Linked DNA regions of Alligator mississippiensis. The protein of the gene in region 4 interacts with the protein of the main gene of each other region in a pairwise test. Links are inferred from orthologs where the notes say so. Each region holds a gene or a part of one and is shown on either strand. Other genes may lie near its edges.

What was found.
Region 1: the proteins of WWP1 (region 4) and ENTREP1 interact in binary tests that used the Homo sapiens proteins (3 or more experiments, as listed by UniProt). The link is inferred for Alligator mississippiensis from reciprocal best matches to the Homo sapiens genes WWP1 and ENTREP1.
Region 2: the proteins of WWP1 (region 4) and ARRDC1 interact in binary tests that used the Homo sapiens proteins (3 or more experiments, as listed by UniProt). The link is inferred for Alligator mississippiensis from reciprocal best matches to the Homo sapiens genes WWP1 and ARRDC1.
Region 3: the proteins of WWP1 (region 4) and CPSF6 interact in binary tests that used the Homo sapiens proteins (3 or more experiments, as listed by UniProt). The link is inferred for Alligator mississippiensis from reciprocal best matches to the Homo sapiens genes WWP1 and CPSF6.

Annotation. Positions count from the first base shown.
Region 1 is NC_081826.1:193,661,442-193,669,366, reverse strand, and holds the start of ENTREP1 (endosomal transmembrane epsin interactor 1), read right to left. Parts: upstream 3,321-7,925; 5' UTR 3,302-3,320; coding exon 2,993-3,301; intron 1-2,992. UniProt on the Homo sapiens protein: Functions as an activator of the E3 ubiquitin protein ligase ITCH in the ubiquitination of the CXCL12-activated CXCR4 receptor. Thereby, triggers CXCR4 endocytosis and desensitization, negatively regulating the CXCL12/CXCR4 signaling pathway.
Region 2 is NC_081835.1:51,725,710-51,733,595, reverse strand, and holds the start of ARRDC1 (arrestin domain-containing protein 1), read right to left. Parts: upstream 3,184-7,886; 5' UTR 3,068-3,183; coding exon 2,950-3,067; intron 1-2,949. UniProt on the Homo sapiens protein: Functions as an adapter recruiting ubiquitin-protein ligases to their specific substrates. Through an ubiquitination-dependent mechanism plays for instance a role in the incorporation of SLC11A2 into extracellular vesicles.
Region 3 is NC_081827.1:69,657,982-69,665,958, reverse strand, and holds the start of CPSF6 (cleavage and polyadenylation specificity factor subunit 6), read right to left. Parts: upstream 3,230-7,977; 5' UTR 3,135-3,229; coding exon 3,075-3,134; intron 1-3,074. UniProt on the Homo sapiens protein: Component of the cleavage factor Im (CFIm) complex that functions as an activator of the pre-mRNA 3'-end cleavage and polyadenylation processing required for the maturation of pre-mRNA into functional mRNAs.
Region 4 is NC_081826.1:49,485,505-49,493,296, reverse strand, and holds the start of WWP1 (NEDD4-like E3 ubiquitin-protein ligase WWP1), read left to right. Parts: upstream 1-4,506; 5' UTR 4,507-4,670; intron 4,671-5,130; exon of another isoform or gene 5,131-5,227; 5' UTR 5,228-5,250; coding exon 5,251-5,433; intron 5,434-5,436; exon of another isoform or gene 5,437-5,455; intron 5,456-6,019; exon of another isoform or gene 6,020-7,792. UniProt on the Homo sapiens protein: E3 ubiquitin-protein ligase which accepts ubiquitin from an E2 ubiquitin-conjugating enzyme in the form of a thioester and then directly transfers the ubiquitin to targeted substrates.

The DNA.
Region 1 (7,925 bases), about 140 Mb from region 4:
AAACCAGATGCTTTACAGAACATACAAAAATATTATATAAAGGGTTCACTTTGTTATAAAAGCAATCACAGTCTATTTATGTAACACTTAGCTCGTATATAACGGAGAATTTCAAAGTGCTTCACAAACACTAATGAAACCTTTGTTAAAACGCCTCTGCAGTGAGGAATTGTTATTATATCTATTTTATCAATGGGGAAACAGGCAGAGGGGTTAAGTGGTTTATCAAAGGTCACAGGCAAAGCAGTAGCACTGCTGGACCAGAGCCCTGACTCCCCTAGCCACCTGCTTTAAACAAGTAGGCGTCAATCTTGCAAGGAATGGGAAGATCCTCACAACCTGGATTGTACTGGACTGTGAAGAGTGGTTTAAAAAAGGACTAAAGATTCACAGATTCACACATTCACAAAAGCTTAGGGCTGGAAGGGACCTCATGAGATAGATCATTGGGTCCAGCCCCCATCTTCACTTCATGCACACAGAGCCAAAATGCTCTGGCTTTTTTGGGTGGAATAAACTTCATATTTAACACATATTAAGTAGACTGTTATAGACAGATGAATCACTTGAGTGTATTCTCTCATTCAATAAAAATATATTATTTCTATATTTTCCATACGTATTTTTTTAAAGTTAGAGGCGTTGATGGTTCCTAAATCAAGTTCTCTAAACTTAGGAAATGCCAGAATTAAGGTTGCTTCTGCGCTCTTTGGTCTGTGCATACATATCTATATTCATCTCTCATTACCTGGCTTAGCTTTTGTGACCCCTTTTTTCCTGTGGGGTCTTTGCTTGTACGCATCTCCCAGTACCCCTTCCCCCTCCTGCTTTCCTGTGTTTTGTATTCTAATCACTTGTTCCACTTTATAAGGATCTAAGAATTGCCATTTACTGGGTCACAGCAAAACACCATCTTGCCCAGCTTCCTGTGTCACATAGTGGCAAAGAGTAGATGCTGAAAGGAAGAGTGACCTGGGTATGAATTGTTTTTTTCCACTGTTGCTCTCTCAATTACAGCCTCCAGCACTTAAGGTCTAAGAAGTTCTGATTCAGAGGTGGTATCCCAAACTCCTGTGTCAACAGCTACTGATGCCCCTTTCCTCCAAGAATCTGTCCAATCCCTTTTGAATCTGACTAAACTGTCAGCTTCCACCGCATCTGATGGCAACATGTGCCAACACACTTTAATGATGCGTTGTATGAAAAAGAGCTTCCTTTTTTTGCTCTCAACTTCCCACCTCCTCGTTCCATCTTGTGACCCCGAGTTCTCATCTGGTGAGAGAGAGAGTTATAAATCCCTATTAGTTTTCTCTTCGCCATTGTGTGTTTCATAAAACCTTATCACGGAAACCTGCCAGGCTCTGCTCCGTGCTGTCCTTTCCCAGCCTCTGAATGAAGTGCACTTGGGTTCACAGAATCAGAAGAGAAGCAGGGCTGCAAGGGAGCTCCAGAGGTCACCTTGCCCAACCCCCTGCCTGAGGCAGGATTATCCCCCTCCAAACCATCCCTTAAACATCCATCATCAAAACTCTATACAAAATTGCTGACAACCCTGGTGCAATGCAGCCTTAACACCCTCACCTGCCACAGGTAAGGCAGGGGCAGCCAGCATCCTGCTGTCTCCATATGTTCAAGAGATCCTAACCCTGCCTGTGCTACAGAGGAAAGCAAAAAAGTCCACCCGGTTTGTACCAAGCTGGGTATAAGGGGCAGTTCCTTCCTAACTCCAAATCTGTCCAATGGTGGGACCCTGAGCAGAGCCCTCTAGCCAGGAAACACCAGGTTTAAGCCAATGCCAAGAGCACTGGCACAGCCCAGTGGCTGCAGCCGGCACCCAGGGGGCTCTGAGGGTTCAGGGGTGCTTGTGCCCTCTCTCTGGGCATAGAGCTGTGGCAGGTAGTTGGTGTATGAGAGTGCACAGCCACACAGCCTTCTCAAGACCCCCCCACACACACACACACAAACAGCCCGCCAACACACCCCCAGCCCCCCCACAACTGCACACACATACCCCAAGCCCCCCAACACACACCCCAGTCCCACACACACATTCCCCCACCCACCCACACCTCCCTGAACACCCACATACACACACACTCACCCCAGACCCATACACACACACATCTACCCCAACCCTCACATATACACTCCCTAGCCTCCCCACCCATACACACGCATCCCCCTACATATACCCCCCAACCCCCTACACACACACCACCCCCCACCCCATACACACACACACACCTCCCAGCCCCAAACATACCTTCCAGCCCCCACATATACACACACATCCACCCTTGCCCCTTACATATACACTCCCCAGCCACCCCCCCACACAAATCCCCTCTACATACACATCCTCAGTCCCCCCCCACACCCCCTACACCCCCAGCCCCCACATATACACACCCCCAGCCCGACACCCACCCCAGCCCCCACATATACACACACCCCCACTCACCCCAGCCCCTGACATCCACACTCCCCACCCCCCCAACACACACAGCCCAGCCCCAAACACCCCGCCTACCCCCCACACACCCCAGCCCCACACATACACACCCACACCCCAACCCCCCACACACATTCCGCCACCTTCCCACACACACCAGCCCCTCACATCCAACCCCCCCACACACCAGCCCTACATACACACTTCCTGCCCCCCCACACCCACCCACCCCAGCCCCACATACACACTCCCCAGCCCCCACGTACACAAACACACACACACCCGCCCCTCACACCCGTACTCCCCAGCCCCCCGACACATCCCAGCCCCAAACACTCCCCCACCCCGCATACACCAGCCCTACATACATACTCCCCAGCCCCCACATATATGTGCACACACACGCCCCTCACACCTGCACTCCCCAGCCCCACGACACACACATCGCAGACCCAAACATAGCCCCTAACCCCCACACAGATCCCAGCCCCACCCCCCCACCTACCCCAGCCCCTCAGACCCGCACCCCCCGGCGCTCACCGCGGAGCCGGCCCAGAAGGGACAGGCGCTCTTGACGCGCGCGGAGCCGCTGAGCGCGAGCGCGCCGAAGCTGAGCGCCACGGTGCCGCAGCCCAGCACGAGCTGCAGCAGCCCCAGCGACAGCAACGGCCGGGCCGGCAGCAGCAGCAGCAGCGAGCCGGGGCCGGGGCCGCGGCGGGCGGGAGCGGGGCGGCCCCAGCGGGCCCGCAGCGGCGGCGGGGCGTCCGCTGAGCCCGGGGCCGCCTGGGGCACGCCGGCCAGCCCGGGCACGGGGCAGCAGGAGCCCGGCAGCACCACGGGCAGGGACATCGCGGCGGCGGCGGCCGGCCACACGTTGCCTCCGCCCGGCCCTGCCCCTGCTCCGCAGGCAGGCGGACACACAGCGCCTCCCTCGCCCGTGCCAGCCCGCCCCCACCTCCCCTCCCCGCCGGGCCCGCTCCCTGCCCTCCAGTTCTCGCCCCGGCCGGCAGGCTTAGACCCCCCAAACACCAGCTCCCCGCTGTGCCCCCAAACCACCTCCTCCCCCCACTCTCACACACACACACACACACACATATACACACACACACACACACACACACAGCCTCTGCAGCACGATGCCACGGGCCAGCTCTTCCTCCGGAGCAGCCCCGCGAGGCACGGCTCCGAGCACCCCTCTGCAGTCCGAACTAGAAGCTAAGTACTGGTGGGGAGGGGGGGCAGCTTATATTCAGGAGCATCTTTTATTCGAGTAAATACAATAGGTGTGTGGCTGACAGTCCTTGTCACCTTATTCTGGACGAGATTTCTGAAGAGTATTTTTTAATTCAGCAAAACAGTTTTTCCTCTCTCTCCCTTTTATTCACCATTTCTCCTTATTCAGAACACTCACGGATTCCCTAAATTCTTATGTTCTCTCGGTTTTCCCCCTTGCCCCCGCTGTCCCTAAGCACCGCCCCGGTGCCCTCCTGTGTCAGGCCACTTCATAACCCCCTCACACACACACACGCACGTGCACACCATGCCACCAAATGCCTCTCAAACATGACACATGGTGCTGCAGGTGTCCCAACGACAGGTGTCCTCTTTTTTTGGAATTGGAAATTTGGTAACCCTAAAGGCTAGGCACTTTTACTGGATTGTGCCAATGCTCCTGCTGGGACTAAGGCTGGAGGGTCTTGCCCCTCTGCTTAGGGTCAGTGTTGCGTCAGGGTTGATAGTAGTGTCACGTAGAGCTTAGATTACTGTTTGTATGGGATATTTTGGATAGGGATGTTCCTGCCTCAGGCAGGGGGTTGGACTAGATGATCTCTGGAGGTCCCTTCCCACCCTACTTCTATATGATTGTATGCAAGCTCTTCCTTGTACCCCCTACCGCAACCCCATATCCTAAACTCTGGAGCAGCCCAGTCCTTGTGCCTGGTGGCTCTTTTAACACCCCGCTCCACTGTGCAGACCCTGAAGCACCTCTCTTGTGGCCCCCTGTGTCAGGCTGCCCTATAACACTCTGTGTGTGTGTGTGTGTGTGTGTGTGTGTGTGTGTGTGTGTGTGTGTGTGTGTGTGTGAGAGAGAGAGAGAGAGAGAGAACTCTAGCTCCATCCCAGCCATTCCCTGTCCTCACTGTCAAACCTGCCCCTAGCCAACCTGCCACACTCAATCCTCACAACCAAAACCCTCACCTGCCACTGTTGACCACTCCCTACCACCAACCCCTCTTTGCTGCCTATGCTACACTTCCACTCTCCCAACAAACAGTATTTGCTGGTTCCACTTACTGCCACTGTTTGCAGCCCCTTCCCCAAGCTATTTGTTCTTGCCCCCAACATCTCTTTGCTGCTGCTGCAAACACTGATCAGTCTACATAAGCTTTTGCTTTTGTTGGCCACACTTTCTTCTGCGTCACTCTGTTTTGCCCTCCTTATTTCTCTTTTGCAGCCACCCCCACCCCATTTTTTCTTTTGGTCAGTGTTGTTATCTAGAGTGAGCTTGAAGTTTTAAAATAACTCAGCCCGGGAGGAGGGTGGGGCATGCAACTGGATTGCATTTCGCATTGTTGGCTTTCTTCCCAATAGGAGGAGGAGATTTGGCAGAAAGTAATTTGTGTGTGCATCACTTTGTAATGCTGTCTGAACAAGGGGCACAGGAGGCAGATTTCTCTTTCAGGTGAAGTAGCTCATCCCTCTCCTTTTCTCTGCTGTTTCTTATTTACTAGACCAATTATTTTCAACCAGGATGTTGCGGTGCTGTGGGGTGCTATGTGATCTTTTTAAGGGTGCTGCAGGTTGCCATACAAATTTGAGGTCTGCAAACACCTACACATGATTCACAAGATAAAGCCAGAGATTTCAAATAGCAATTAAAAACATTCTGACCTGTAATGATCTTTCTGAGTTCTTTGCAACAGAAGACTTGCTCTATTTTTTTCTCTAGTCAAAAATGAGTGACAGCTGAGAACTGGCATTTTCCAAGGGGTGCCTTGAGACTCAGAAGTTTGAGAACCACTGTAATAGATGAACTTCAAGAATTTGTGTTCTTTAGTTCTGCTTGTTGAGATGCTGGGAGAGAGCAGGTGCAGGCCAGGCCTTTCATTCAACAATGGGTTCCAGCTCAAGTTTAAACAAGTTGGGCAAGCCTGGAGATGAGTTAGAAAAATAGTTAATAACAGATATGGAAAACTTACCTATCTAGGAGAATGTGGACACATCTACACAGGCAATTAATACACATGAATAAACTCTGGAGTTTATTGCTCCAGAGTTTTTTTGCCCCCAGGCACACCAGTTGGATGTGTGCCCAGGAGCAAAAAACTCTGAAGTATATTTCTCCAGAGTTCATTTGTGTGCAGGACACCAAGCCTGGTCGGAGCAGCCCCAGCTGGCAGTAGCCCAGGGCTACTCCGACTGGGCTCACTGTGCTGCGTAGGGGCTGGCTGGGGCACAAGGGTGCTTCAGTGCGGAGCTAGCCAGACAACAGCCCCCACCCTGAAGCAACTTCATGCCCCAGCCAGCTGGGCAGCAGCTACACATGTACTGCTAAGCATGAAAAAACTGTGCAGCAGGGTACTTGTATTTACAGGGTACTTGTATTTACAAGTACTAGCCTGCTCCACAGTTTATTAGTTTCATGCACCCTAATAGGGGCACACCTGTAGATAGAGACATTTACTGTGGAGCTAATTAGGCAGTTCTGCAGTAAACTTCTCACGTAGATGTACTCTGTGCCACCATAAAGGTGGCATTGGTTCATCTAGCAGCACTTGTCTGTGCAAAAAGTAAGAGTTCTCATCTAGGATGTTGTCTCAGGCCTACAGCACAGTACCAAAAAGAGAAGGAGCTGCAGCACTAGAGATGCTTACCTTTGGATGAAACCCTTGTTGCCTGTCTCTGCTGACTGCCTATTTGAAAATTAAGGATGTCTTGAAAAGAGTACATTATAACTTCACTGTTCAAGTCCTGAACCCACAATGAAGTCCATATAGGTTAATAATTATTCTATGGACTATTTTCAAAGATCAGGGATTGAGGTAACATTTACTCTCTCAATAATACATTCTAATGCTCAAGGTTCTATATATGAGCTAGAGCCAAGTGCTACTCCTGCTGCACTGGACTGCGCAGTCACTGCACACCTAATACCTAACTCAGTCACTACTTTGTAAACAGCTTAAGTGTAAAGGCACTATATAAAAATAAGTTCTGCCTACATAGATACCAGACTTTGATTATTATTTACAATCCATTGTCTGATTTTTTTTTTTCACCCTGCTCCTGGTACATGGAAATAACATTGCTGATATGACTCACAGTTTAGTACCTCTTCAGATTTAGCCCCAGATGTCTTCTGGTTGGCACAGTAAGGAAGGCATTGAGAGCACTGAAGAGAGTGTCAGTCTCTTAGGTCTTATTTGTAGTGTCATTTTGAACCCCGGTTGACAGAGGAGCAATTGCAGGAAAAGCCTACTCAGACTGTCATTGTGGAGTGGAGCATACTCAACGAAGACTGGAGCTCGTGATTTTTTTTTGGTGAATAGTTTACTGGCTGAATTATACAGTTCTGAGTTAACTGAAACTTCATAGATTTCATAGACATTAGGGCTGGAAGGGACCTCGGAAGATCATCGAGTCAAGCCCCCTGCCCAAAGGGCAGGAAGTCAGCCGGGTTCATAGGATCTCAGCAAGATGAGCATCCAGTTTGCTCTTGAAGGTGTTTAATGTAGGCGCTTGAACCACCTCCAGTGGCAGGCTGTTCCAGACCTTGGGGGCTCGGACAGTAAAGAAATTCTTCCTTATGTCCAGCCTGAAACGGTCTTATAGTAGTTTATGACCATTTGACCTAGTCGTCATCCCTTGGGGCGCTCTGGTGAACAAACGTTCCCCCAGATACTGGTGGTCACCCCTGATAAACTTATAGGTGGCCATCAGATCACCCCTGAGCCTGCGCTTTTCCAGGCTAAAGAGCCCCAGGGCTCTCAGCCTGTCATCGTAGGGTCTGCTTCCCTGACCTCTGATCGTGCGCGTGGCTTTTCTCTGGACTCTCTCAAGCTTCTCCACATCCTTTTTGAATTGTGGAGCCCAAAACCGGACACAGTACTCCAGCTGCGGCCTCACTAAGGCCGAGTACAAGGGGAGAATGACGTCCCGGGATTTGCTTGAGAAGCATCTATGGATGCAAGCCAGCATTTTGGTTGCTTTACTAGCCACAGCATCTAGGCTCATGTTCATGAGCCTGCAGTGAGAAAAAAAAATCAGCAATTAGTTTCTGTTGAATTAAAAATGAAGGGAAAATTTTTACAGTTAAAACAGTTATTTCAACATTTCTGAAAGAAATCCTTTCCTTTTTTGTGTAATCAACTGCTAAACATAGGTTTTTCTCTTAGTTATTTTCAGTTCATGAAGTTCTCCCCCTCTCACTCTCACACTTATAGGGGATGTTCTTGTTATCAGTCCCTAACTG
Region 2 (7,886 bases), on a different chromosome or scaffold from region 4:
ATACACACACTTTGTTTTAATAGCAGAAAACCACCCCCCACAGATTTTGGGGGGGGGGGGGGGGGGTTAGAGTCAGACAATTTGGGATTTTTTTAAAATCAGAGAAAACCAGGATCCCTGTTGATAATGCAAGGGGCTTGCTGAACACTACAACTCTGACCTGTTCATAGAGGCAGGTCCTCAGGAGAAGAGGAAGAAGTTGGCAGGCTGGGCTGGGAACAGGAAGCAAGGGGCAGAAGTCAGTGAACACTCCATTAGGAATCTCTCACTCAGAGGAGTGTTGCTAGGAAGTGGCATTCCCCAAGGAGACTGTTTTACAGCCAGAGCCCATAATTTACTGGGAGAGGAATTTAAGCAAAGCCTTCTGGAAGCTCAGAGATCCAGGTGCAACAGGAAAAGTATTTAAAAATGTGGGCATACCTGCTCACATAGGCCAGTGACTGCCTAGAAGGCTGGGTGCTTTCCAAGCAGAGTCAATTGAATTAAGATCTCTGCCAACAAGGGATTACCAGTCTAAATTCTTGGGAAGGTTTCCAAGATGTAGAGATGGAAGCAATAATTGCAAGAGAAGTGAGCAAGACTCAGACTTATAGAAGGAAAGAGATTTTGCATTTCTATTGTACCAGGGATGAAGTACTTCACAAGGACTATCTTCTCCCATTTTACAGTGAGAAAAAATAGGTACAACACATTAAATTGCTTGGTCTAAACATCACATGAACAGCTCATGGTGGAGTGGAGGTAGAATCCAGACTGCTTCACTCTTCTACCCTTCTCAAGTTTCCCTAAAGCTTTCCATCACTGTCAGTATAATGCAAAGTTCATAGAGTCTGCAGGACTGACTGTCCAAGGGATGGCAGAAGGGTCAACAAGATTTTCAATAAAGTCAAGGCACCTGTCCTCACACCACAAGCACCAAAGCAGCTTAAATCAGCACTAGAAAAGATTTATTCCCTTTCAAGCAAAACTGCAGATTCATTAGTCTCCCCTCCCACTAAAGACAGGGCCTTGGAGTTAGTCTTGACAACTTCCCAGGGAGAATTCCAAATAGGGGTTTCACAACAGCAAGGATCTAGAAAACTGAAACAATTCAGGACTCATTGTAAATATGCTACAACCAGAATTTTACAGTTTTAAAAAGCAGGTGCCTCTTCTCAGTTATAACCTGCTTGTTTGTATGGTTATCAATTCCTAGATTCCAGCCAGTGACTAGCACAGTGTGCAGCCTAGGTCTTCTCAAGTCCACTTCACATGTAACCCATTTCCCCAATGTCCAAAGAAGACTCGGCTCTGGCAGCTCAAGGTCACTATGTCCACAGTCTCTAAAAAAGTGACAAGACTTACACTGCCTATCACTTTGGTTGGTCACGGTCACTGTAAACAAGATACTTTTTGCTGAATGGCTTAACGACTTCTGAGACCACCACAACACCGTCGCCTGCTCAGAGCTTTGGAAGGCACTGAACCACATGCAGGAATTAAAGGATGCTGGAAACCCGAATGCCAGGCTCTGCCTTCCAGCTTCACAATTTGTCAGGTCTCTTTAACCTCATACTTGGATAAATACAGTAGTCAAGTCAGCCTAGCCCAAATGTATTGACACTGTTGTGAACTAAATTTCCCCCCCCCCCCCTCAACCTTTAAAGAGGGAGGAGACAGAAATAAGTAAATAAAAAAATTCTCTGTCCCCTCCCTCTTAAAGGAGGAGGCGGAGGGAGGGAGAGATTATTATGCAGATTATATATAATCTACCTTTGCTCTTCCCCCTTTCCCAGACTTTCCAGTACCCCTTTTTCTTTAAAAATGTGAAATTTCAATTCAGAATTACAAGCTCAAGGTACTCCCCTTGCAGCTGCTTTTGATGCATCAAAAACAGCTACATTTAAGACTGGAAGGTGGAAAAATTAGATACTAGGGCAGACACCCACACACACAGTTTGGCCTCCTTCCCAATAGCAAACAGCTCCTTTTGGTTGTAGTTCAACTGTTTTCCCCTACAGTTCATCTCAGCTTGCATAAAACATGCTCTAACTGCGTGTTATGGCCATGGACATAAAAGGCGGGTTAGTTTGGCACGTGACCTGGGCACCTTTGGATTTTTAACTTCCCTCCGGTCCCACTCAACACAAGTTGGGACCAACCAGCAATAGGTCAGAACTCGGGTCAAGCTTCCTCCTGCTCAACAGCTTGAACTAGCAGAGAGAAAGGGTTTATCACACCCGCTTACTTGGGAGTTCTTGTGGATCCTCTGCCACACCTGCTCTGGACACAGGTGTCAGGTCTAACCGAGTCTGGGAATGGCTGGTTCCAAACCCTGGAAATCTGTGACTTCAGGGCAGGTTGGCTCCAGACCACCATCCCCACCCCCACGGGAGCACAGCTGAGCTTTACCCTCAAGCACATCAGCCCCTACCTATGCTGGGGCGCAGCGAGCAGTAACAACCCCCCACCCCCAACAGCTCGGTGCCTTCCACACCTAGATCCAACCCAGCTGGGAAGCAGCCAAGCCACCCTCGCCGCAGGGATCCCAGCCTCAACCCACAGCCATTAGGGCTGGAAAGGACCTCGGAAGATCATCGAGTGCAGCCCCCTGCCCCAGGGCCAGCAAAGACCAAGGGAGCCCAGCAAGATAAGCGTCTCAATGTTTCTTTAGAGAGTAGGTGCTGCAGAGGGGCCCGGCTCACGCGCGCGCGCGCGCACACACACACACACACACACACACACACACACACACACACACACACACACGCGCGCGCGCGAACCGGCCGAAGAAGAAACCCGCAGGGCCGCGGAAACCACGGCTGGGACTTCGCTGCCTCCCGCCAGGGTTAGCCGGCTCGCCGTCAGCACGCACGGGTCTCGGCAGGCGAAGTTTGACGGCAGGCGGCTCCCGCCAGACGGGGGCGGCGATGGGGGCGCGGGGCCAGGCGGGCGGGGGCCGGCACTCACCGCGGTACTGCAGGGCTCCGGACAGGCGCACCGTGACCGAGCCGGCCAGCGGCTCCCCGGGGCTGTAGATGACCCGGCTCTCGCTCAGGCGGACCTCGAAGAGCTGCACCTTCCCCATAACCGAACCGGCCCGGCCCCGGGGCTCCGCCGCGCTGCAGACGAGTCCCGGCTGCTGCCGCCGCTGCCGAAGAAGAAGCTGCTCTACCTGCTGCTGCTGCCGCTCCAGCGCCCGCCCCGGGCCTGCCCCTTAAGCAGCCGGCTCCGCCCCGCCTCCCCCGGGCGCAGGGAGCCGCCCCCGCCGGCCCGGAGCTCCGCACCTCCACCTCCCTCTTGCTGCCTCCCGGGGCCCCTTCACAGCGGCTTCTGCGGCTTGAGTGGTGGGCCCCCAGCACCCCTGGGTCAGGAGTCACCTGTCCTCGAGGCACGGCGGCCTGGAAGCAGCTCTGTGCGCCGCTGCCCCGGCTCTCCTCCGGCCTGCCTGGGTTACACTTCACCTGAAAACCCCTTCTGCAGCTCGAAGAAGCAGTGGGGATTTGATGCTGGTACAAGGCACCTCCTGGCTGGGGCACGCCGGGCAAAGGGTGTGTAGGGAGGAATCGGTGAAGATCCCAGCCTGGCTCCGCGCCACTGGGCGAGCGTAGCCCACATCTCGGATTTTCAGGGCTGAAAAGCGAGTCCGGACTGGCCGTGGCCTCCTGGGTTATCAGGTCCAGCCCCCTGCAATCACAGCCGGGCACCTCGTATAATCTACTTTATAAACAGGGTCAGGCCAATTAGTGTGTTAGGGGCCAGGAAGGAATTTCACCCTGTAGTCAGGCTGGCATGGACTGGGGGAGGGGGTTGCCTTCCTCTGTAGCAGCAAGGGCCTCTACCCAGGATCTCTTGAGCATGTACTGACAACGTTTCACAGAAGCAGGACGCCGGCTGCTGTGGATCCCCTGCTTTCTGTATGGCATGTTAGGGTGCTCGGTCTGCGCTGTGTCAGGGTTGATGGCCATTTCATGTACGGTTTAGATCAGGGCTGGGCAAAATATGGCTTGTGGGCCAGATGCAGCCTGTAGTTGTCTCTATTTCCTGGAAACCTGGCTGCCACCACCAGCCCCACTCCCCCTGGGGCAGAGCTGGGATGCACTCCCTGCCAGCAGGGCCATCCCTAGGTGGGGGACAAATCAGGGCGGCTGCCCCAGGCCCCGCGGACAGTGCCATACAGGCCCTGCCACAGCCACTTGCCACCTTACCCACTCACCACCCCTTCCCCCCCACTCAACGCTTCGGACCTTCGCCACCCCTCAACTCCACACAGACTGATATGCCCTGGGCCCCGCATACCCCTAGGGACAGCTCTGCCTGCCAGATCCAGCCCTGCTCCCTGCAAACCCCTGCCCACAGAACCAGGCTCTGCCCCAGCCCCACGTGGTCACGGCCCCACAATCCCAGGGTCTTCATGGAGGCTGGATGGGAGCCCTGTGAGCAGGGCACGCCACTGGGCAGGGAGCTGCTCCAGAGCTGGAGCCGGGGCCGGGGCTGAGGCTGGGGCCAGGATCCTGGGGCTATGAAAGCATGCAGCTGGGGCCGGGGCAGAGCCACAATCTGCTCCCTGCACACCCCTGTCCATGCAACCTACGCTCATCACAGGGACGTGTGGACAGCAGATCGCGGCTCTGTCCCAGCCCTGAGCCTGTGCTGTTACTGCCCCAAGATCCTGGGGTCTCCCTGTCCCTGCTCACCCATCTCACTCCCAGCCACTGCCCCAACCTAGCTGCCCAGCTGCATGCCCTGCCTGTGCGGGTCCTGCTCCCAGTGGTGGGTGCAGGGTGGACAGGCCGAGCTGCCCAGACAGTGGGGCTGCGGGCAGCAGCAGCAGCTAAAGGAGCTGCCACCACCAGCGCTGCCAGGAAATGGAGTCTGGCTGCAGGCTGGATCCACCATTTTGCCCACCCCCAGTTTAGATGATGGACTGTATGAGGCGGTTTGGATAGGGATGATCTGCCTGCCTCGGGCAGGGGGTTGGATTAGATGTCCTCTGGTGGTCCCTTCCTGACCAACTTCTCTATGACATGGTTCTATGCTATAAACTGATAATGCTCAATCTTAAAAAGAGTTGGTGGTATTTGCTCCATTGCTCCTATTGTGAGCCGTTCCAGAGGTTCATTGCTCTGATTGTTAGATATCTGTTTCCAATTTGCAGCCTCATTTTATTAAGGGCCCATTTACACCCCTGTGAAGTTGTGCCAACATTCTCCCTCAGCTTAAAATAGGTCTTCCACCACTGATTTATCTATAGACAGCAGTTATGACCATCCTTTTTCAGGATTAAACAAGCCAAGCTGTTTAGTTGTGTCTCATCTGTTCCTCTGATCATCCTGCTAGCCATGCTTTGCATCTGTCCAGGCTACCTATTTCCTCTGCCTCTGAGACTGTCAAGAAACAAAGGGGAAAGCGATCAAGAAATGCTTGTTGTGAGTGTGGTTTCTCTGACAAGTGCTGGTACCCAGGGCAAGTAACTTGAGACCCCAATCCATGGGGTCCCATGGTCCACCCAGGAGCCATCAGACAGGGGCAGCTGTTACTTCCTGACTGGCTGGGTCCATGCTAGGGATTAAGGGGTTGTATTTATTGGCACTGCTTCTTAAATCTCTTGCAATTGCACCAGTCCCAAGGCAGACCCATGAACGGTCTTGGTGGTATGAGCATAACAATCCCCTTGAACCAGCTACTCAAATCCATCTGTAGTGCCTGTCACCAGAAGGGCACCGAACATTTTGGCAATTAAACCACTCCAAGTTGGATGATGGAAGTAAAATTACAGACAGGAAAACGGGGGGATTGAGAGGTGACTGACTTGCCCCAGGCCAAAGTACTAGTAAAAAAGCAGAATCAAGAATAGGACCTAGAACAGGGGTGGGTAAAATGCAGCCCACGGGGCAGATGCAGCCTGCCAGGCCATTCTGTCCAGCCTGCAGGGCCCCTAAAACATGTAGAAAATTAATATTTATCTGCCCCTGGCTGACTGTCACGCAGCCCTCGATGGCTTGCCGTAACTCAGTAAGCGGCCCTCCGCCTGAAATAATTGCTCACCTCTGACCTAGAATGAGGGACAGCATCTTCCTGATGCCTCCCCCCTGCTCCTTCAACCAGACAGGCTCTATATATAACTCCACTACTAGAAGGCCTAGAGTTTTATTCCTGTTTGTAGAAATACAGGAGCAATTTTTTTAAATATAGATTGCTCAAAATTGATTCTTTTCCCTGGACACACTAGGGTACATGACTGGAGTTTGCTTAGTAATTTACCTGACATAACTAGATGCAGATCATTTTAACATGTTTAACCCAGTGACTGCCGGTTCAACAGCTTCTTAGTTGATTCTGTTTTGCCCATGGGGTATGGATTCATAAGTATGCATATTCATATACCTAATTCTCTGCTTACCTGTAACCCTGTTACATGCACTGAAAATACATTTGTTATCTAACTGCACACAAGAAAGAGAAATTCATAACCAGAACTGGTAAAAAAAAAGGGTGTTTTATAAACATTTCTTAAAGATTTTACAGAACTGTTGGACAAATATTCTCAACAGACCTTTCAGTTTTGAAACATTTTGGTTTGCATGTATTTGGGGTTTTTCATTTTATCCTTTGCTTGTTTTGTTTGATGCAAAAGAACCTAGCTTCCTCTTTTTAAAAAAAAATTTCACCGTGGCTCTTTTTATTTCATTTAAAAAAAACAAAAGATGGAGGAGCTAAAAAAGTGGGGGAAAAAACAACCCAGAATTTCCCCCTCAAAATCTGAAAACAAAGAAAATAATTTGGCAGTTTCATCATAACCCAAAAATATTGGGGAAAATTAAATTTCTACACATGCACAAATACACACACATGAATGCACAGTGAAAAATAGGTGTCATCAAATGCCAGTTTTGTTTTCTGTACTGTTTTGTTTTAAGAAAGGAAACCACCTTGACTGCATCTATTATTTACAACCTTTGGGACCAGAGACACAAGCTTCTATTGAGGGAGTAGAGGGGGCAGGTGTCCTACTCCAGTACGAGAATACCGAGAGAGATTTGAGAAGGACAGCTGTCAGAGCAACCTATTTTTATGATATTATCTCTCTCTCCAGGAAACGGGAACAGGAAGGAAGAAAGAAGGACAATTTCAATTTGCCACAAGAGCTTCTTATGAATCAGATGTGGTTGTCTCTTAGCTAGATCTGCTTGCACAACTTGAGCAAGTTCCATAACCTCCCCTTGCTTCAGTTTCTCTATCTATGAAATGGGGATGATAATACCCACCTCACAGATAAGGCTTTAAGTCTGAATTTATGAATGCTTGTGATGTGTTTAGAGACTTTGTGAAGACGCATTATAGAAATGCCCCTAAATAACTCCATCATGACTTACAGGCATATACACACCAGCCAGCTATGCAAACTGTTCAAGGTGATGCAATATTTCTTCATCATACGATTATTTCCACCTGATTTGTGGCTCCTGAGATATGTGCAATGTTGGAAAAGTGAGACCAGCTCAGAGGGTTTCATGTATACTGAAGAGAGCTGTGCACAATTTCTTGACCTGGTATCTTTTCTGGACTGTATTAATGCTAGAGACAGCCAGATGCTGTAACAGGACTCCTGTATCATAAGCCAGGCACGAGAACTAATGAGAGGGTGAGAGAAGAGAAGTTCTAGTACAGCCAAACCCAAGGTAGCTATTGTGTAGAGCGGGGCTGAATTAGGCCTCTAGATTTATTAGTCTTCCCCAGTATGAAAATGCTCACCCTTAAACACTCAGAGAGATAACGACTTGTACTTCTCCAGATCTTTTCTGCTTCTTGGCAGACAAAGGGATATTCCAGGTGAGGCCATGCTTTTGGGGTGTACACACACACACACACACACACACACACACACACTGTAACTTTTCCTTTCT
Region 3 (7,977 bases), on a different chromosome or scaffold from region 4:
ACCACAGACAAATCACAGAAGATAAAAGCTAAGCATGGTATATGCTGATGGATCTATGAGACACAAGAATACATCCCATTTCAGGAGAACTTGTATTTCAGAAAGTCTCCTCCTCACCAGATTTTCAACCTTAGCAGGAATAACTGTTGGCTTTGTAAGTTTACTGTACTGAAGGACAATCTTTTGAAAGCTTGAGTTTGTAGGTAGGACCATGAGCAAATGCAATTGTGCTGAAACAGCTTGGGTGAATTTCTTAAGCACAGAAAAATAAGAAGTAATGTCCCACAAGCCTGTATGCTGCTTCTAATTAGTCTGTTGGAATCTTCTATTACAACAAACCATGCACTGTCACCACAAAAAATGTAGAGAAGAGGTTTACAATATTTTGATTAACTAGAATTTCTTTTAGCTCTATTAATCCATAGCTGTCAGTACCAAATTAGATCATAACATTAGTAAAAACCGAGAATGCAACTAGACTAAATAATTATGCAGAAAGTACATATACTAACCATAGAAAAGCAGAGTCCAGTCAAAAAGCTTCCTGGACATTTGCCATTTTACTGGGATCACATGCTCACAACAGAAATAGCTTCCCAAGTTTTATGACTGTTTTGAGTGGAATTATCCCCTAAAATTTTACTTACAAGATATCAGAAACTTTTCAGAAGATATTTTGAAACGTTATCACTAAAAGGAAAAATTATATGGAAAATAGCATTTACTATTTGCAAGCAAAAATAAATCTGCTGCAGAAAGGAAGACATGCAAGGCGAGACTAAACCAAACAATACAGGAAAGGTGCATCTTAAGTAGGAGCCCTGAATGAAGTACAATCAGAATGTATTCATTGATGCCATTGCTCTGACTGGCAGACTTATTGCAAAGAACACCCAACATATACCCACCACCTCTGTAAAACTGAATCACACAGATATACTGCAAGAAACTGGATAAAATCAAGGTCTCTTCTGCAACCATACAAGTAGCAAGAACGTCAAATATTTGCACCATTTTTCCAAGCAATCAATTACCTACTTTAATGGCTTGAATACAAACAAATTTGCACCAGTTTACATTACACTAGTTTAGTCAAATAGTGCAACATTGCTCTTGGACATACTTCTTTTAGCATAAGAGAGGCTTTAATTTGGTTTAATGGGAACCCATTCTAAACTAAACTAAACAAGAACAAAACCATTCCCATTGGGGCTTGCACCACTTAAAATCCACAATCTCCAGTAAGGTAAGGCAAGGGGGTTTCAACCAGGACATGCTGATGTTTTTGATGGCACTGAGAAAACAATTTCCCAGCTAGAAGGTCCTGCACTGCCACTCAAGATCATACCAGTAACAAAATTCAAACCCAGCAAAAACTTTTTGTCTGGGCCAGATTAGGAGATCATTGGGGTTACTGCTTTTCTCAACAGCATGGGCATGATCCTTCTCCTAGGATCTTCTGTATATATTAACCAACTGCTTCCAGGTTAACTTAGTAGCAGGGATAAAGGTTGTAGCCATGTTGGTCTAAAAGTACAAGCAGCCAGTGTGGTAGAAGTGGTATTTTTTATTAGACCAACTAAACAGTTACAATTTTTTTTTTTAATTTGCAAGCTTTAAGGCAAAGATTGTAACATTTCTCCCAGGTAGAGTGTCATTGTCGTCCCTGCTTCTACCTATAGCATATCACACAGCGTTCTTGGTATTGTTGGTATGATGCCTTGTAGCAGAGTGTAAGGGGCTGAGGATGACAATGGGGATTTCTCGGGATAACAAACGCAGGCAACTTGACTCTATGGCCCAGGGTGTCCCTTCCACATTATACCAGTATATCCTTCCCATTTAAACAACCCAAAAGTCTTAAATGAACAAACCAGTCTTCTCTATTGCCTGCTTGCCTCACAGTTTGCTACTCTTCCGTAATATCAAATTTTAAAAATGACCTTATTTTCTGAAAAATATCCCAAGCCTCTAGATATTGATTTAAATTTTGGGACACAATTTCTTCTCCAACCACCACTCCAATACAATCCCACAGTCACCTCCCTCCTCCTTATCGCCTGAGTCTCTATGAACCTCCCTCTGCTTATACACCCACTGCCACACATCAGCTGGTCAGTGAGTCTGGTCGATCTGCTGAGGGCAGATTCTTTACTTGATCCCTTGTTTTGCAGAAAGGAACAACGCAGTGGGGGACACCACCACACATGAAACCACCACTATGTTTCTTGAGGTAACTGCAGCTGTTAGTGGGGTTGGGGGAGGCCCGCTCATGCATTTCAGTAGGGACGCGCAGGGCAGTTTGCACTTTGTTTTCAGAGGGGGAGAAAAGACTGACACATTTCAAAGAAAATCCAAGTGTCTGTCAGTTGAGGTGCAAGTGAAAAGTGCAATAACAGCATCCCCATCGCCAGGGGGCCAAAGGCACCACGGGGCTATTTAAAAGAGATGCGGGGAGTCTCTCAGGGCTGCCCCACTCCTGAGAAGACCTGGGGCAGGTCTGCCTTTCTGGGATTGTTTTGTTTCAGTGTTTGTGCAGGGTGGACCAGCACAAGGCCAATCCCTGCCCCTCGAGCCTCTGGCCTTTTAGTAGCTCAGCAATTGAGCACCTCAGGCCTCCTCTGCCATCCCCCGGAGGCGGCTCCTCTAGCCGGGGCGGCCACTGGTCTGCCTGAGCGGGCGGCGGGCGGCGGCCGGGAGGCAGCCGTGCTGCTCCCGCCTCCCCGAGCACCGCGCACCTTCCCGCCGGCCCGGACGCGGATGAGCCGCGGGAGGTGGAGCCATTCCCCACCTCCCTCCTCCGCCGCCACCAAGACCCCGGCACGGGCAGGGCCAGGGCCAGGCGGAGAGGAAGCAGGCAGGCCGCTGCTGGTGGCTCCCGCTGCCTTCGCTGCGCATGCGGCCTGCGCCGGCGGCCTCCCACCGCGGGAAAGCAGCGGCCGCGAACAATGGCGGCCGGGCCGGGCCGGGCCGGGCCGAGCTGGGCCTCCCCGCCGCGGGCCCGGCAGGCGACGCAGCCCCTCGGCCGGGCTGGGGAGGCCCGAGGGGGAGAGGCGGAGGGGAGCCGCGCGCACCTGGTTGAACTCCTCGCCCACGTCGGCGTAAATGTCTATGTGGTCCACGCCGTCCGCCATGATCCCGCCCGCACCTCGGGCCCCGCCGCCAGCCGCGCCCGGCTCTAGCGCTGCCGCCTCCGCGGGGAGAGAGGGGGGCGTGACGTCACTTCCGGAAGGCGACAGGCCGCTTCCGGCTGCTGAAGTAACCACTGCTGCCCCGCTGCTCCGCCTGAGCCCGCCCTCGGCCGAGGGGGCTTGTGGGAGGGCGGGGGCGGGGCAGGCCTGCGCGCACCGCCGCCCCCCACCACCGCGCGGGGGGCACGTCACCCTGAGAGCGCCGTCTCCAATCCGGACAGGCCCCGCCCCCTCCCGAGCTCTCCACGCCCCGCCCCCTCGTCCGTCAGCCCAAGTATTGTCCAGGGCTGGGGGGGTTGTCGCGTGTGTGGGGATTAATTCCATCCTTGTGCTGTTAATATTAAATAGTAAAAGCGTTGAAGCCCAGGGGAGCCCCGCTGGCCTCTAACTGCCCTGCACAACATGGAGTTTCTTTTCTACTTGCATCAGGTATCCAGGTTGTAGCGGTATTGCTCTAGAAGAAAAAACAATCAGGACTCGGAGTAGAGAAGGTAGGTATCTTTTATTAGACCAGCAAGATTTTTGCAAAAAAATTTCTTTAATTGCAAGCTTTCGGGCACAAACACCCTTCATCAGGCATCAAAGAAAAGATTGTAAAAGTTCTCCTGGGTAGAAATGAAAGTTCGTATTTCGTAGGATTTCACAGAGGAGTCAATAGATGGAAAACTCCTCTGGGCAGTCGGTTCATAGCTGGTATGGAGCCTCTCGCCTCCTGTGAGATCTGTGATGAGGATGCAAATCACCTTGAAACAAAGGATCTCAGGTTTCTGGTGGTCACAGTTGCTAGCTGCTTGGGAAAATATGAAGATTTAATTTAAAAAAATCTGGATACCTGATACATGGAAGATATCAAATTTTAGCTGATTTTTTTTCATATATGCAGCAAGAAATCATGAGGTTAAATGTTGCGGTCAAATTCATTAAATAAATCTTCTTCCAAAGAAGAGCTGTAATGCCTTATTTCTTGAGTTGCTGTCCAGTGTATGAATTGTTACCTAATGTTAAGCTTAGCCCTCTTACCTGGTTCCCAGAGTTAACATTTCTAGAACCCAGAAATTAAGTGTAATGGCTAAAATAAATTGAGTCCATTCTAAACAATACTGAAATTTCCTATTTAAGAGAACTATCAGATCTACAACCTGTTCCAAAAACTTGGTATTTCACTTAGAAAAAAAAAAGTCAGATAAGGTGATCTCGGTCTTCACATTTACCTTGGTCTTTACAGCCAAGGTCAGCTCCCAAACTACTACACCAGGCAGCACCGTTTGGGGAGGTCAGCATCCCCCAGTGGTGAAAGAACTGGTTAGGGACTATTTATTAATATTGGACGTGTACAAGTCCACAGGGCTGGATGCAATGCATCTGAGGATGCTGAGGGAGTTGGCTGAAGTGATTGCAGAGCCACTGACCATTATCTCTGAAAACTTGTGGCAATTACAGGGGGGAGGGGGTGGTCCCAGATAATTGGAAAAGGGCAAATATAGTGCCCATTGTTGGGGGATAACCCTATATGGCTCACATGTGCCATTTGGAAAGGGACCTGGGAATATCACTGCCACCTACCTCAGGTGTTCTATCCTTGCCTGCCACATCTTGATGGAACTTCTTATCAAAAGGTGGATGTAGTATGAAGGCAAGATTCCACTGAGTCCTCCAAGGGTTTTCTTCACAGGACTCCTCTTCCCCTTACACCCCGTCCTTGCTATCCCACATCAGATGGCAAACGTCATGGTCTGGATCCTGCGTGGAACAGCTGTACCTCCGGCAGCTATTCATTGGCTTAATAAATGGTTGTGTTTGTATACTCAAATCACTTGATTCAGGCACCACAAGGCCTCCAACTTTAGTCAGTTCCCAAGAGACCAAGGATCAACTTCACTATATCAATTCATTGAATAGTCCATCAAGCAAATAACTTAAATCAATTTTCCTCCAATTCATGGGACAATCACTCCCAGTCAAGTAATTTAAGGCTCACGAGACAATCAAATTAAATTCCCTGCACATACACAAGACAGACAATGAAAATTGGTTTGCCAGGAACCTTTAACTTGATCAGTCTTAAATTAACACCTGTCCTCCATGCCTGGTTTTCTTACTGGTACCATGGCTCTTAATCAAACTACCTCCCCTCTGGCTTGGCTTTCCTGGGGTGGGACAACCAAGGTTTCTGCAGGGTAGGGGCTCTTCTCTTTCTCCCTGTACCCCAGTGCAGTGAGGAGATGAAACAACAAAAAAACAACCAACAGGGAAAAAAAAAGGGTGGGGAGGCTGTACCTTCAACAGCTTCCGGGCTCATCCAGTGATGACTTTCCCTAGTCTCTCTGTCTTTGCTGGCTCCTTGCTGTGGTCCTCACTGCCACAGCCCTCTGCTCACCAGCTCCTCACCATTCCCTCATGTTCTGCTCTTGGGCACAGATGGCTTTAGGACTCTGTGAGCTGGGTAGGTCTCCAGCATCCCCTTGCCTAATCCATCAGTGTCCTCTCCCAGCTGCCCCTCTCTGGGACTGGAAATATTCTTCCTCAGGCTCCCTCCACCAATCCAGAGGGAGCAGGAACTATGGAAGCACATCTGCATCAGTCTTGCTCTGGTCAGGGCCACTCCCACACCTGCAGTGACTATTTCCCTCCCCCCCTGCAGTAACTCAGGCCCTCTTTTCTTTTACTTTCTCACACCCATCTTTAAGAAAGAGAAGAAGGAGGATCCAGGGAACTACAGACCAGTCAGGCTCACCTCAGTCCCTGGAAAAATCATGGAGCAGATCCTCAAAGACAGGACTGGTCCGTCCTATGCTGCAAAACCTGCGGCCACAGGGGACCCCACAGCTAAGGGCCCTCCTGAGTCCAGCTGCTTGCCACCCCTCCCTCCTGCCACCAATGACACTGCCACCACCGGCTTCATGTCTGGCCATTCACCACCCCCCGCCACCACTGGCTTCTTTGGCTGCTCATCGCCCCCCCTCCCCCCCCCCCAGCCGCCACAGGGGGCCCCAAAACTATTTCTTGCAGGGGGCTCCCAAAAATTGTGGGCTGTCCCTGCTCAAAGAATCCCTTCCTAAGCAATTGGAGAAGAAGTTGATTAGGAACAGTCAGCATGGATTCACCAAGGGCAATTTATGCCTGACCAACCTGATTGCCTTCTATGATGATCTATGGCTCTGTTGATGCAGGGAAAGCAGTAGACAAAATATACCTTGACTTTAGTATGGCTTTTGATACAGTCTCCCACAGACAGCATTATTTTAAGCAACTGAGGAAGTATGGGTTGGATGAATGGACTGTAAAGTGGATAGAAAGCTGCCTGGATTGTTGGACTCAACAGGTAGTAATCAATGGCTCGATGTCTATCTGGAAGCCAGTATCAAGTGCAGTGCCCCAGTGGTTGGTCCTGGGGCCAGTTTTGTTTAATGTCTTCATTAATGATCTGGAAGATGGGATGGATTGCACCCTCAGCAAGTTTGCAGATGACACCAAGCTGTGGGGAGTAGTAGATACACTAGAGGGTACGGCTAGGATTCAGAGTGACCTAGACAAATTGGAGGATAGGGCCAAAAAAATTCTCATGAGGTTCAGCAAAGACAAGTGCAACGTTGTGCACTTAGGACAGAAGAATCCCATGTACTGCTACAGGCTTGGAACCAACTGGATAAGCAGCAGCTCTGAGAAAAAGACCTGGGAGTTACAGTGGACAAGAAGATGGATATAAGTCAGCAGTGTGCCCTTGTTGCCAAGAAGGCTAACAGCATACTGGGCTGCATTAGTGGGACCATTGCCGGCAGATAGAGAGAAGGTATTCTTCTATAATATTCCACTCCATTCTGCACTGGTGAGGCCACATCTGGAGTACTGTGTCCAGTTTTTGGCCCCCTACTATAGAAAGGGTGTGGACAAGTTGGAGAGAGGTCAGCAGAGAGGGACAAAAATGGTTAGAGGGCTGGGGTACATGACTTATGAGGAGAGACTGAGGGAACTCGGCTTATTTAGTCTGCAGAAGAGAAGACAGAGGAGGGGATTTGATAGCAGCCTTTAACTGTGTGAAGTGGGGTTCGGAAGAGAATGGAACTGGACTGTTCTCAGTGATGACAGATGAGAGAACAAGGAGCAACAATCTCAAGTTGCAGCAAAGGAGGTTTAGGTTTGAGATTAGGAAAACTTTCTCACTAGGAGGATGGTGAAGCACTGGAATGGGTTACCTAGAGAGGTTGTGGAATCTCTATCCTTGGAGGTTTTTAAGGCTGGCTTGACAAAGTTCTGCCTGGATTGATCTAGCTGGGGATGGTCCTGCGTTAAGGAGGGGGTTGGACTAGACTAGATGACCTCCTGAGGTCCCTTCCAACCCTAACTTTCTATGATTCTAAGGCTTTGCTGAGAGATAGACACTGAGATATTAACTGGACTGTTGAGTAAATGAGTAAATTTTGAGACTAACAGTGTTATTTCTCACCACAGATAAAAAATACAGATTGAGCTCTGCATAAGCCATGTTTGAATAAAACAACAGCACTTCAGAGAAGATCTCTCATATAAAAGTGTTAGATATCCATATTGGGAAAAAGGTGAAAGTTTTGCCATTATATGAAGAAGCCTTATAAAGAAGGCTTATATAAAGAAGCCTACTGAGATCCAAAGTAGGTGCAGTCATTTATTTTTATTCTATGATCAATTGGTCCTTTACATAATAAAATAGGTTCAATGCTATGAACTTTAGTGTTTTTACATACATGGAGAAAAGGATTTCCTAGAATGATATTTTGCATTGTAGTTTGGATAAAGTTAGACAACCTTT
Region 4 (7,792 bases):
ACAAGCTGTTTTCAAAGACTATGAGGATCTGGCACACAAACCTTGCTACATGGTATAGCACGTAGTTACATGAAAGGCACTTACAAACTCATTGCTGTTTTCACTAATGCAGGGAGGGTGAATGGCAAATTTGAAAAATGAAAACATACTTCCTAAGTAGGAGACAATTTTGGAGGGAGATATTTGAATAATGTAATTGTAGGTTTTATGCACACATACTTATAAAATTAAGTTTCATCATTGCCAATCATTTATCTCCGTACATACATGTTCCCACTGAAAAAAATTGGGAAAATATAATATTTCTACAGTCATAGAGGTTAGAAATATAGGCCCAAAACATTAAAATGGAAGTTAGCTTGCATTTTTCCAGGACAGCATTTCTGAAAAATGTGTGCTTCAGATAATTATTTCTCAGTTACCTTAAAAGCAATTTGGAAAAGCATGATGTGCAAAAAAACCCAAAACGCAATAGAGCACAAAAATTATATGAGGTTGCAAAGTGAAAGGATGACAGAAAAGCCATGAATAATCAAAACTAACTATTGATTTGGGTGTTCTAGCTTTCATGTTGTATGAGCTTCAAGTAACAAGCTCCTTTTGGAAAAAGAACATATAGTTGAAATGTAGAGAAATCTTCCTTTAATTTTGTTAAATACTGTTTTTATAAATAAACTGAATGATGTTGGCAAAATAAGCCAGCCCAATTTAGCAAACTGATGGCTGACCTTGAAACTTCATCAGGGTGGATTTGATTTAAATCAAATTGATTCAAATCATAATTTAAATCACTGGTCAGGAAGCCTCGACTTAATCATTATTTTCTGCAAAAAAATGCATTCTTGTTCAAGATCCTCTGTTCATTTAACTTCTTGAAACTTTGTACTTTTAGACAGAGGTAAGGGCTTGACCATGTGTATGCAAACTTGTAGAGAGGCAACAGGGCTGAAAGGTAGGTAATCAGATCTGTTATCTCTCATCTTCATATACTGTTGCTAACAAGGATGTTATTTCTGGAGACACAAATCTACAGTTTGATAAGTGAAACTAAGCATCACAGGGCATGTCTAAACATCGCCCTACAGCGACATAGCGATTGTGCGGGTCTACATGTGATCACCAGCTAAGCTGACGTAGTGGCCCACTCCCCTAGTATAGAGTGATGCTACGGTGACATAGTAACAAAACCTAACCGTGCACCGTTTGCACAGCATAGTAACTGCCCATACTGTGCTGTGCTTTAGGACTTCTAAACAAAAACTTCACCGATACTGTATCTAATGCTGCAGTCCTTTCTTGGGATAAACTATTGTCTGAATCTGAGTCAATTAAATATATAAAGATTTAGGTGATTGATATATTGATAATAATATAGTAAGGCAACTAAGGAGTCATGCTTTCCTTCTGCTTTTCAGAAGATTTCCATAAAAAAAATTCTATCCATTTTTAAACTATACTATAGAATAAGAGAATTATAGCTTCTCCCTAGATTTACATGGAATGGTCCAAAAATTATAGGAAATGTTTTAAATTCTAGATTAAATTCTGAGTTTCTTTAGAATCGTATTGGTTTTGTTCCTATGAAATATTAGACAACTTTTCCATAGCAGAATGTGAGATGAACGGCACACTTTGGACTAAAAGAATGTCACTAGAATCACCCCCAAACTCACCTTAATCTTCTACATGAGTAAAAGAAAACTAGAGATATTCACTGAAGAGAGAAGGAATTATACTGTTCCACACAACAATCACAGGACATCCATTCTACAGACTTGTTAAGACTAGCATTGCCACCCAACCCTCAGGCAATTTTCTTTACTGGTAAGGATGTAGGCCTATTGTATGAGACTGTGCTGCTTTTCTCTGTGCTCTGGATGAAACTAGGAAGGAAATAGAAAGGTGGTCAATAATATGTTTGTTCAACAACCAGACAAGCAGAAGGGTGAATCTATAACAGCAACATACTAAGCACTTAGCTTGTAGGTTCTTTATTTGACCTTGAATTTCCCAGATTTAGAATCTGTGAAGCCTAGTGAGTGAATGCTATATAAGAATCTAATATTAATTAAGCTCGTGGAGGCCAACTCCAACAGTAATATACCACTTCTCTAGGATTTACTTTCCTAGCCAATTATATTTGTTACGTTTGTAGTGTTTTCAAGCTTTAAGATGCTAAAAGCTTCAGGCTGATTTATGGTTTCACATCTAAAGCATGTGAAACTTATCTGAGATTAGCATTAGATTTTTTATTTGTCCAAAAACAAAACTCAAAGAGAGTTTGGCAAAAAATACACAAATAAAAATAAACATGCATATAAAAACTAGATTTTCCCCCAGCAGCAAGTTTGAGATTTACATCCAGTTAAGTTACAGGAAGCAAATTCTAGCTGTTTGCACCCAATGAAGTGATGCAGGCAACTAATACTGAAGGTCCAAGCATACCATATTTCATCTTAATGTCACCATCCTGAATCACTGCATACTGGGACTTTTAGTTTTTGCAGGCCAAAGCACATTATAAAGGTTACATGTGATCTACAAAAGGGGGAAAACCGGAACCCACAATTTTCTCTTTGCTTTTTCAAGTTCATGCAGGATGACATAGACTTGAAATTTTGCAGCTTGTTTTAAAAAATTAAGGCTCCTAAATGGCAAACATTTATACACATACTTTATTATACTTGCTAGCACAGTCCTCAAAGCAAGTCAAAACAAAAAAAATCCTTCAGGTGTTTTATGCTTCACGTGAAAACAAAACATCACCACAAGCCTATTTTTTAGAAGCCAGCTGACTATTACTTTCAGAACACATTATGGGTACCCTTTGCATGAAGCTATCCATCCAATTAAGGCAGTTATAAGACAATTTAGTGCATAATATGAAGAGGTGGACGTAGGGAAGAGGCAAGCAAGCAAGAGGTATCAAGTACTGTATGTTAAAGTATTTTTTGTAAAAATATACTTTAATTAAAGGCTATAAGGGGACACCCCATCCAGAACAGCATTTCCATGTATTAATTAGTCTGAACAGTTTGGTCTATTCACACTAATTGCAAACTCCTTGGGACAGGAATGGCATCTTATTTTTGGACATAAATGAAAACATTAACCACATCTGCAACAAGCAAGCCACTGCAAAGTCATGAAGTAGAGCTAAAAATGCTTATTAACACAAATTACAGATGCAGACCCCAAGAGCAGAGTCAGAAAACAGGGAACTCAATTATAGGGTACAGATTTTAGAACAAGTAAAAGGATGAATACATAGTGTTAGGTACCTTAAAGGAAATTTTTTTCTTGTGGATAAGCACTTTTTCAAAAGAACAGACACAAATTCAGATAGATCCCATTGGAGACCATCCTGGAGGCTCTGCAGGGCTCCCATCCCACACCTCACTGCTCTCAACCTTTTTCAACATGAGGCACCCTCCACGCTTGTGAATTGAGGGGCACTACATTTAAAAAACTAACTTCAGCGCTCAACTCCTTGCACAGAGGGCTGGACTGGGCTGGGCAGTGAGAGCAGCCCTGCCCTGCCCTGCCTGTGCCTGCACTTATCTGCTGGAGTCCTGGTGGGAGGCACCCTGGCTGGGGCTCACGGCTGGGCCCCATGAGACCGGCTGCTGCTCACAGTGCAACAGCTCAGGACAGAATTTGGTTTTCCTCAACCCCTTAAGTCAGTTTGCTGTTTCCCTTAAGGTAGGGCTGTGATCTATGAAGCGAAGGCTTTGGGTTAAAAACAGGCCTTGGGTTTGAGGTGGCTGTGACTGACCCGAGCCCAAACCTGTGACACAAGAGCAGCTGGCCCTTCGGTTGTGCCAGCAACAAGCTGGACTGAAACACCCTGAGTGCCTTTCTCTCCCTTCCTGTGCCGGGCCTTCAGGTGGGCCCAGGGGCTCCTACTTCTGTAGGATCCCAGCACAGGGGGAGAGATGTCCTGCCTGGGACACTGCTTTTGCCTTCCGGCTCTGCAGTCAGTTTATTAGGATTTTCAGGTGAGTGATCTTTTTCTGGGCATTGTTTGCAGCAGATGTGTGACCCCGCCCCTCAGACCCCGGGGGCCTGCAAGGACCCCCACCAGGGCCCACTGCGCGAGCCCCCTACCCCGGCTCCCTTAGGGGCTGAGTCTCCGCTCACTGAGGTCTCCCTGCGAGGCGGGGATAGCTCAGCACCCCGCCCCGGGACCCGCTGCTCGTACCGCCCCGTCCTCGCGCAGGGCGGCCTCAAACCAGGACCTGCAGCTTGAGCGGGACTGACCCTGCTCGTCCCAGCCCGCCCCCCGATATGGAAGTTGGTTCAGTCCGGGGCAGGCGGTTACCGCACTCTTTTCCCTTGGTTCAACCCTTCCCCCCCACAGCTTCGAGGAAGTTGGTTGCGGCCGGGCGCTTAGCCAGGGCGGTTGTGGTCGGGCCCGACCTGTCCGCGCGCGCGCACGCAGGCGCTGACGCAGGGAGGCCGGCGCGTGCGCGCTCGGGGCTCGGCCGTTGGGGGGAGGGCGGCGCGGGGCGGCCCTGGCGCAGGGGCGGCCGTGGCTGTGGCGGTGGCTGCGCGCGGGCCGCCGATGCCGCCGCGGTGAGATGGCAGCGCCCAGCGAGGCGGCGGGCCAGCGGCAGCGCGGCGCGCACGGCTGAGGGGACGCGGCGGCGGCTGTCGAGCTGCGAGCCACGGTAGGGACATAAACAGGACGGGGCGGGACCCCATGCCCGGCCTGTCACGGGGGTGACAGCGGCTTCCTCCGCTGGGGGGAGCGGGGCAGCCGCTGCCCGGGCCGGGCCCAGCGCTGGGGCGGTGCCGGGCTGGGCTCGGGGTCGCCGTGTCAGCGAATAACCTTGTGTGCTCGGGCGGGGGAGGGGAGCCCCGGCCGCGCCCGCCGCCGCGGTGGGGCCCTGGGCCCTTACCTGGGGGGACAGGAGGTGGCAATGTGGTGACATCGCTGTTTTGCTCCCCTTAACTGGGGAGCGGGGAGTCCGCTCTGCGGGGATGTCCCCTGCAGCCTGTCATCACGGCCCCTGGAGGCACCAGGCTCTCCCGCAGTCTCGCAGTGGGGGGGTGCTCCTGCCCCTGCTCAAGTGGGAGATCTGATGATAGCTCCAGTAGTCAGGCTTTTAAATGATAAAATACCCACAGATTGCTAGAACAGGCCCCAGGTCGTTGCTTTTATTGTAAAAGGAGCCTGGCGTGGGTTCCCCCAGCGTGTGCGGGGCTGTAACTTCATTCACCACAGAAACAAGATGCGCCTCCCACTGTATGCCATCAACTAATTGCGCTGCGCTCCTAATCGCGTGCTCCACGAGCTTCGACGGCCGGCCCATGCGGATAAGAAAAAGATCATATGGATGCATGAGAGTCCTTCAGCCTTCGGACAAAGTTCTGCAGACAGTCCCAGAAGTTGTGTTCCTCTTTCCCGTGTGGGTTACTGCTTGGATAGAGGTGACCAGAAGGGCTTACTTGGGTATGAATGTAGGTTAGACACAGTGTGCTAATGCCTATTTTACTACAGCAGTTCTCAGCCAGGTGCCGTGACACCCCCAGGTGCCTTGAGATCCTTTCAAGGATGCCTTGTAATGTTAGGACTATTAGGCATGTGAACATGATTCACAAGATAAACCCAGAGATTTCAAATAGGAATCCATAGTATTAAATACATTCTGACTTGTTACGATCAAGTTTTTTGCAACAGAAGAATTACTTTATTATTTTTTTAAGTTTTAAAAAAAAAAAAAAAGGAAAAACTAAGTTGGTATTTTTTGAGCAGTGTCTTGAGTCTAAGAAGGTTGAGAACCACTAGTTTACTAGGTTGTGTTACCTTATGTTGAAAGTGGGCTAGCTAGTAAGATCTGTGATGATTTGTATGTGTGAAATAAAAATGGATGCCAGTGACCCTTTATAGTATAAAGGCTTATACTTTGTTTATGACATGAACTTTTGTAAGTGAATGAACACATTGACTAGTGGTAATTTGTTAGAACCTTTTGGAAATGTATAAATGGTAATTCTGTGACTTTTTTTTGATTAGAGAAACCAACTGGAAGACTGTTATCCTTGTATTGAGGGACTGCTGATGAAGCCAGCTAATGTGAAGTCAGCTAGACATAAACTCTGTTAATTTAGTGTTTCTGTGATTAAATGAGATTCAAGGAATGTTCACAAAATGAAAACTTAAACTATGCTTTTTGTTGTCAATGATCCCCAGATCTTAAAAAGAACCATGGAGTTCTTTTTTGGGACAAAATAAAAGAAGAGGAAGGAGTACCCGTCTGTTCCTTCCCATCTTTCATTGTGTCATGGGGCTGCCACCTGGGAATACTCGCCACGTCACTTTTCTTCTCCATCTTTACTCTTTACTTTGCAGGAAAGGACAAGATGTGTTCTCCAAGCCCTTCCTGTGTTACTTTTACTGCCCACAGCCCAGATTTGAGGTGGGAATGGGCAGTACATCCTGTCACTTCCCTTCTCTCTCTCAAACTCTATAGTAGCTAATGGCCTGAAATGAAAAAAGTTTTAGTAACTATGGATTGACAAATTAAACTGCAACTACTAAATAAAAAAGGATATCAGTTATAAATTAAGGGCAGGAACTAGCTGTTGGGTGTTGCCTTAAAAATGCAATTCTGAACACTTAGAAAACTTTTGGTTGACCAACTTGGTAAGAAGCACATCCCTCATTAAAGCTGAAGGCACACATAGGGATTTTAAGGGGTTAAGGCATAAAAAAAAAAAAAATAATAATTTCCCACATTCAAAAAAAGCTTTCCAAACTAAGTGGGGTTCTAACCTATTGGCTTTTCAACTAATGCAAATTTCATTTAAGAAATACTAGATTGTTTTTAGGTCTGCTTCAAGTTGCACCTGCAATTGGTGCAATCTTCCTGAGTTTGTATAAAGTGGCTTGAGTAGTGGGAAGGTAAATGAGTTGTGGTCTGTTTCCCTAGTTTCATTACTCATTATAAGATTCTGAATAGCAGCTATGAACTTACTAAGAATCCTGTCAGTTTCCCTGTTTTGCATTTGCTGAAAACTATGAACTGACTTTTACCAAATTGATTTTGTAAAGGATCAGATACCAATCTTAGCAGAGAGCAAAGCACATGTAGATGTCATTGAGACAAAGAGGATAAAATATGGCCTGGTGTATTAACTAAACTAGATATTATATATTTTGCTGTAATTTAGGAAGAAGGAAAATTTTGTGTGCCCCCCTCTTTTTTTGAATCTCCCACATTTTTGCTTTCTTTCTTCCTCCATACTTTTTCTTTCTTTTTTCCTCCCCTCTCCTTTTTCTCTCTACTTCTTTCTGAATCCCACCACATTTCTCATCCTATATGCTTTCCTGTTAAATATTGCAATAATTCATGTTGACTTATAAAAGGCTGCTATAGTTTCACTGTGTTGTTCACACCCCCATGTAATGGGCATCAGGATAGTTCATACCTCTTAGCCCTTATTTCAGACTATGTTCAGACTTGGATAATACTGTATCAGTTATGTACGGGTTGATGGTGTGTATGTGGGAGCAAGAGTAGAAGAGGAAGCATTCCACTGGGAGGGCTAGAAGATGACAGGTTAGATTTGTCATGTTCTGTTTTTGAAATCTTATTATAAAGCAAAGTGATATTCAAAAGGAAGACCCTCTAAAACTAGAAGAGATTGTCAAATTGCCCGAAAAAAGTAGGAAAAAAGCTTCTTTCTTTTTATCAAGGGAGAGGCTTTCCTTCCCAAACAGAGACCCATAGGAAAGAAAAACGCATGTCATCTGGAGACAGCAGTACCTTCCTCTTTCCCAGTAGGT